Solanum lycopersicum: one gene and its partner. The protein of the gene in region 2 interacts with the protein of the main gene of each other region in a pairwise test. Links are inferred from orthologs where the notes say so. Each region holds a gene or a part of one and is shown on either strand. Other genes may lie near its edges.

Region 1 (3,838 bases), on a different chromosome or scaffold from region 2:
ATCAACTCACATGTGTTTTAACTTCATTTTTCTCAAATTTTACCAGCAATAACTTCCATTTTTAAGATCATGCGTGATTTTAAAGCAGAAAAGTTTGCTCTTCTAAAGCGGAAAAGCATACAGAACATTTTAACTATCAAAGATCAATGCAATATATAAAACAACCTGACAGAAATTGCATACAGCCATATTTAACAGCATTTCAGTTTAAATTGTCCTTTACTCACATATCAGATAAAATTTATGGGATGTTGGCCTTTGTCCGAGTGAAATTCCTCATCCACGAGAATGGTAAGGCAGAGGAACATAAGTAGTAAATGCACCTCATAGAAGCCCAGAAAACATTAATTGCCTATTACAAAGGACCCTAGAAGGATTACAGTATTTACACCACAAATACTAGTGCAAGCTTCTTAAGTGCCCACACTTTTTTAAGTAATGGTATTAGTTTGCAACAACAGAAACCAGTCATATACGACGAGAAACAACAAAATATAGAAGCACCTGATATCCATGAGAAAGATGTCCACCATGAGGAAGATCAAGAGCCATGATTCTCTCATGAGGTTTTAATAATGCAGTGTAAACATGAAAATTAGCGGGTGATCCTGATAGAGGCTGCACATTCACTGCAATAAGAAAAGGTTAATTGAGATGAGTACTTTTAGTTTCTAGCACTATTTAGACGATGAAACATAATAGAACAAAATTTATTACCTCCCCATTTTGCAGGATCCAACCTGAATGCTTCCAAAGCACGTTTCTGGCATAAGGTTTCTGCCATGTCTATGTACCTGGACAGCCACCCATTCTTCATAATGTTAAAATAAAATCTGAAGTTGATATATGACATGAAAATACAGGTTAATGACAAAAGTCTTAAGAGTTAAAAAATAGCAAATATTGTGCGTACTCATTTCCTCCATAGTATCTGGCACCAGGATATCCTTCACTGTACTTGTTAGTCATGACTGATCCAACTGCTTGCATCACCGAAACGGAAGTGAAATTTTCTGATGGAATGAGTTCGAGCCCCTAAAGAAAGCATTTTGAACTTAGGTAAGACATTTAACTTCCATAGCTAACTGCTTCTTCGCATCTTAAACAAAAGAAAGATAACTAGCAGAATGGATGCTATACGTGATAAGAAGAGTAAAAGAAATGAGACATACTATATAATTCTTAGCATTCAATGCTCTTAACAGGAGATTGATAAGTTAAATTAATTTCAGCAGTTGGAAGTTGGAACTCCCCATGAAGTAATCTGAAAGGCAGTTTTACTCAAAGGTGTAGTCTGGAGGACAATAAAGGGAGTCAAAACAATGGCATACCCGGAGCCAAATCCCAGCCGACACAAACAACACCAGGTAATTTTTCCCCATCTATCTAAGCCTTTGGGGGCAGAATATCCCCTGTTAGCTGTACCGACCCTAGGTAGCCAATATTTGGTGGAATAATTGAGGTGTGGGCAAACTCACATGGACATCACCGATACTAAATATATCTAAAAGATATTTCATATAGGCTTCTTTATTTTTTTTATGACAAGGGAACCCACAACCACTACACTTTGGATGCACATAGGGTAAACCATGCTCCAGTGTAATAGCCCGTAAATCACAGCAGAAAGTAAACCACACTAGATAAGCCTCGTGCGCCGAGAAAGCATGCAAGGTTTCATATAGACTTGTTTATTGAAACTGAAACATCAATGTTTGGCACAGGTTCCCAAGTATTACTAGTTAAATGTTCTAATTTGCTACAGTCTGAGCCTTAATTCCTTTGCGGTAAGCTTCAGTGAGTGAGAGATGGAAAGAAAAAGAAAAGAGAAGGCGATAGAACCTTCCATTGGCGTGCTTTCTCATGCTCAATAATGTCAGCAATCTCAGGATCAACAACCTCTAGTGGAGCATTCAGTTGCTTTGGCCACTGAAAGTATTCAGGATTTCAACTCAGAAATGAAAAGAACACAAGCAAAAGTTCAGATAACACATCTATTCCAATTCATCATGAACTTACAGCTACTCCGGATTTTTCCTTGTCGTATACAGCTTCATTAGGCAGTGATGACTGCAACAAACAACGCAAAGTAAATATAACTTAAAAGGAAAAGTAATACATAGTACTACTATAAATAATAAATAAACAAGTTATAAATACAAACCATGTAATAGATAGAGCCTCCATTGTAAAGACTCTTAACTGGCTTGTCAATTGTAGCAGAAAGCCTCCGAAGAGCTATTGCCATAGCCATTGCAGCTGTCCGCCTTTTGCACCAGCTAACACACAATTTCAAAGAGTTGTAGTGAATTTTTTTTTTTGTCTGGATTGGAGGATGATGTTTGGGTGGTGGTAGAAATTTGGATAAATTTTATGGTCGTTATGGCGCCACCTTACTCACATTCCATATCCATTTCTTTTTTACTCATGTTAAAAGTTACTCCATTAACTGCAAACCACATTATTTAAAATCTTAATCTAGCACATTATTGTTACTCATTACACAATCAATTCAAACTTAGCGATACTAGCATACTATAATATTCTTAAAAATAATATCATTTTTGTTCACTGAAGTGTAAAATTGGACCAGTAATTCGATTGTTTGTGGGGCATATCTCCCGTGGAAAATATTGTTACTTAGCGATCGTATTCTGCAATAGGAGCCATAAAAGCCCTATCCAACTTACAAGTTTCTTGACCACAAAAAGCGGCTCTCCAAGATTTAGGGTTACGGAATTTGGGGAAACCTTCATTATCGAAAATTTAATCTTTTCTTGGGTCACTGTACTCCCGCCGGTGACAATCCGTGGGTCCGATCGTCGCACGACGACGGAGGTTTTGAAAGGGAGACTGATAAGACCCTCTTTTTCATCTGGAATTATTTGGGCTTTTTTGTACTTACTTGTCCCGCCCCGTTATAAACTTACATGGGCTTACTGGTCTAAGAGGCAAACTTGGGCCTGACTTTTTATTTCTTTTCCATGTATGGACTAGCCACTTTTCGGACCAAATCCCACCTTTTAGTTTACTTATTATCATTATTTTCTATAAGTTTTATAAATTATCGAAATCTCTTAAATTTCTCTTTAAGTCAAAAATTTCATTAATGTATCTAACCCTCTTTTTAATGTATCAACGCATGTATCCGACCCTCTTTTTAATGTATCTGCGCTCTGATTTTTTTTCATTAATGTACATGGCGTATCTGACTCTCCATTAGTGTATCAGACCCTCCCTTTTATATATTCTATCCTCTTTTTAATGTATAAGCATTCAACGCTTATATTATTATATCTGTTTGAGGGATTTCTGTAATTATAAGCTTTTAAGTGATAGATTGTAATTTTGTCTTCAAAATATGTGATTTCTGTAATTTATTCATTTTTTACGAAAAAAACAACCTAATTATTTAAACATTTCTGTCATATTTATTAATTCTACCTATAATTTAAAATAGTTACATATAGTCTCACTAATTAATAAATGCATACCAGATTTCAAGTCAGATAACTGAAATACTTGTATTTTTGCTATCAAATGCACTCTGAAATATTGATACTTAGAGAACAGAGCGAGAGAAGAAAGAGGCAAGCGAGATAGGAAAAGGCGAACGAGAAAATAGGTGTATTCCGAATACATATGAATCACATTAAATACATGTATTTGATATTTACTATACATTTCAAAATACAAATATATAAAAAATAGGCGAGCAATAAAGTAATTATATCTTTGATACTTGTAAATCTACTTGGATACAGTGTGTATATATATATATATATATAAACCTAAATTTTGCACGAAAAGTAAGTTCCTATTATATTTCAGTTATAAG
Region 2 (3,456 bases):
AGGATAATTGAGCAATAAATTTTAGTAGCTCAATTGATTGACTATCAGAACTTTCACATAATTCGAGTCTCGATTTCACAGTCCCTTTGCCCCTTACCTTTAATTGTAAGAAAAAAAAGGGTTTAAGTATGATAACGCTCAACCAACCATAACCATAGAGAATTTATTAAACACTGTTAATTCTAAATTGGAAAAGAATGTGGTTTCTGACATTTAGCTAAGATTGGAGACAAAAGTTAAAAGTGGTGGGAAAAATAAATAAATATGGTCAAAGTAGAGCAGTATATAACCCAAAAGTACTTACTGTGTGTGTAGGTGACAATATATTATTAATGCTTAGCCAAGTTGCTTGTTTGTTTTCTTCTCTTCCTATCCCATTCCCTTTGGCCCATCATGTCAAAAATCTTAATCTTCTGCTACCTTCTTTTGTAGGCCCCTTAATACAAATTTGTCTATGTGAGATGAACCAAACCAAAGTTGCTGAAGTTGAACTGGAATCTTCCCATCTATTCTTCCCTTTTGACAATTTTTGTCCCCACCTAGGGGATGTTCTGTTTGTAGCATAGAGTTATGCATGTATTAAAATAATTATTACCAATGTTGAGAATCGCCTTTGTTAGAGAGCGTTGTTGAACGAGGATGATAGTAGAGGAGATCTTGTATGTCTACATTTGATAAACAATGGATTACAGGAAATGGAGAATAGATTATATTAAAGGGGAAGAGAGTGACAAAATTATGGCCTCCTTGTTGTTTTGAACACAGCTAATAGCCAATGTATATAATACATACAACCACTCCCTAAACCCCCTGTGCCTCCCAAATTCTTTTATTTCCCTCCCTCTAGAATACAAAAATACTTTATAACACCGATGTCCAGAAGGCACCTTTTCCCCTCATCGATCTCTACAAGTTACAGGAGATGTCGACTTGTCACAAGGGTTAACCCGACCTAATCTACTGGAGTCGGTATTACTACTACTATGACTACTAACTACTTTTCTACAATGTTTAGTTGGGTTGGGACAGAGAGGTGGTGTCCTTCCGCGGGTTTCTGGAACGCCAGTATAACTGTTACGATCATGTAACCCTGTCCAAAAACCCTGACCATCCCCAGCTGTTTCTGGGTTGCCGCTGCAGCTGGTCTCTTCACGAGCAGAAGCATAACGGTCCAAATCAGCAAGGGGTGAATGCCTTGAGTACAGAGGGGAAGGAGAAGATGAGGATGAGGATGTGTCAGAATCAGATGAACTCCTCCAGAGGCTATTCCAACAGACCCCAGAGTCGCCAAATATATCAATATTTAAGTCATCTGTGCTCGTTGAATCCCTGTTAGTGCTGTCTGTACTGCAAGAACCAAGCTCAGAGAAGAAAGATGATTGTTCACTCGAAGAGTCCTCCTCAAATATAGACCTAATAGGCCTCACACTTGTATGACTAGGATAAGAACATCCGTTGCAGGTTTTACTAGTTGAATCGCCATGTGAAGAGTCCCATGGACTTCTTGTATGGGATCTTGATTTACAAGTCAGTTGCTTTGATCTCCTTGGATCACGAGGAATTGTCAGACTCCTCATTATCCTCGGGGCCCGTGGCGAGCACCTAAAAAAGGAAAAAAGAAAATGTCAGCTACAATCGAATGCATACCTCAACTAGAAGGAGATGCGTCTATAATTTTACCTTGAATAAAGAAGCATGTACGCTCCCTTCGACAAGACTCTTTCTAGTTCCACAGATTTAACCTACAAATATGACAAAGACCACATCAAAACCTCAAAAAGACCATGGAAGAAACATCATGTTGTGTGCTATGCATGAAGCAGAATCGAGAGGAAATGGAGTATCACAGTCTCATCATCACAGAACACATTAACGCACATCAAGAGCACTTTTAGTAGTTCTAAGCCGAAAGGAACAACCACTTTGTGACAACAAATGCCTAATTTCTCATAAGCTTACCAATACCCAAAGCCCAGAAGTGAAGGGAGAAAAGTATACAATCAATGGATGAAATTCAGAAAGATAAAATGAGGTGTAAAATAAGTTTTAAAATGTGAATTATAAGTAAAAGTTCTTTAGGAGACATACCGAACTATCATCAACTTTATACCACTTGTTCTGAAAGTTCCTCACGTAACACACATAGTGACCAGAAAATGCAGCATTCATTACGTCCAGGTGAACCACAACTCCATACAGCTGATAAACTGGTGACTTATCACTTGTCCCACTCATATATGGTGCCAGGTTCAAAAACTCAGGGAATTTGATTGTCTTGTTTAGCTTCCCAAATTTACCTGACTGCAAAACTACAGACAGTGAGCAATTGCAAACAAAATGCAGATACGAGGAAGTATTTCCTTCAATCAATATCAAAAACTGAAGGAGACAACACTTCATTCAAAACAGTACCTGAAATCTCTTCAATGCAACTGTGAGGACATTAGGAGCCTCCACCACTTTTAACTTTTTCTTAGCCTTCTCATACGATTTACATCTGAAAGATGCAGCAAAAGTTTAGTCCAAAAATGAGCTGCAAAAATGGCATGCATGCAGAAGAGTCGAACAATCTGCTCATAACCAAACAAACTACAAATGCACAGAAATTTCATACTGTTTGTGCCACTACTGAAGATTCTAGAAGTGAAGATGTACAATGCAATTGGTATAATCATTTTTCTCTAGATCGAGAGAGATGAGAAGGATTTGGGCATAGCATCGTATTTTCCAAGATGGATAAAAACAAAGAAACAAATCAATGAAATTTTAATCAACCCAGTTTAACTCAAAGGAATGACACTACCATTAGACACCGAATCGAAACATTAATGCACACAAAGTATCTAGACACACTAATAAAAGAAAAGTGAGAGATGACCCAAATGAAATATAAAGGAAAAAAATTCAGAGGATAACATAAAAACACATCAAAATAACTAAGTATGGGACAATTGGATCGAACCTGCCACATCGGTACTTGTTTTCACCATCTAGAGTCTCAGTATGAGTAAATTGTTTCAAAGCTTCTTCCAAGGTGCCTATATCTCCGTCTATTTCAACAGTAAGATCCATTATTCTTTCTTGCCTCTCAGATTTGCCCCCACACCTCATGCACTCAATCTTCCAGTTGAATTTTTCAGAAATCAGTACAGAAGTTTTTTCAAGAAATATTAAGCTTACATTTAACAACTATTAGAAGTCAATAGTTACCTTTGAACGGAGATAGCCCCCAAATGTAAGCCCAATGAGACTCGTTTCTTCTTCAAAAGAGCCAGGTGCAGTAACCCCAGCTCCCTTCAAGCAAATGGATTGCATTGTGTCGATAACATACCTGTTGAGTTAGGAAAACAGACATAAACAACTAACTCAGAAGTTCAACAGATACTTGCACATCTACAGCCTCCACAGATTCAGAAAATATACCTAAGAAATTCATGAGCGTCTTCTTCTCTACCA

The links.
Region 1: the proteins of ubiquitin carboxyl-terminal hydrolase 16 (region 2) and serine hydroxymethyltransferase, mitochondrial interact in binary tests that used the Arabidopsis thaliana proteins (3 or more experiments, as listed by UniProt). The link is inferred for Solanum lycopersicum from reciprocal best matches to the Arabidopsis thaliana genes UBP16 and SHM1.

The regions. Positions count from the first base shown.
Region 1 is NC_090801.1:69,138,253-69,142,090, reverse strand, and holds the start of serine hydroxymethyltransferase, mitochondrial, read right to left. Parts: upstream 2,871-3,838; 5' UTR 2,255-2,870; coding exon 2,165-2,254; intron 2,071-2,164; coding exon 2,020-2,070; intron 1,930-2,019; coding exon 1,843-1,929; intron 1,036-1,842; coding exon 914-1,035; intron 795-913; coding exon 718-794; intron 630-717; coding exon 505-629; intron 1-504. UniProt on the Arabidopsis thaliana protein: Functions in the photorespiratory pathway in catalyzing the interconversion of serine and glycine. Involved in controlling cell damage caused by abiotic stress, such as high light and salt and the hypersensitive defense response of plants.
Region 2 is NC_090803.1:62,984,619-62,988,074, reverse strand, and holds the end of ubiquitin carboxyl-terminal hydrolase 16, read right to left. Parts: coding exon 3,424-3,456; intron 3,332-3,423; coding exon 3,211-3,331; intron 3,121-3,210; coding exon 2,963-3,120; intron 2,498-2,962; coding exon 2,413-2,497; intron 2,302-2,412; coding exon 2,089-2,301; intron 1,743-2,088; coding exon 1,681-1,742; intron 1,603-1,680; coding exon 897-1,602; 3' UTR 687-896; downstream 1-686. UniProt on the Arabidopsis thaliana protein: Recognizes and hydrolyzes the peptide bond at the C-terminal Gly of ubiquitin. Involved in the processing of poly-ubiquitin precursors as well as that of ubiquitinated proteins.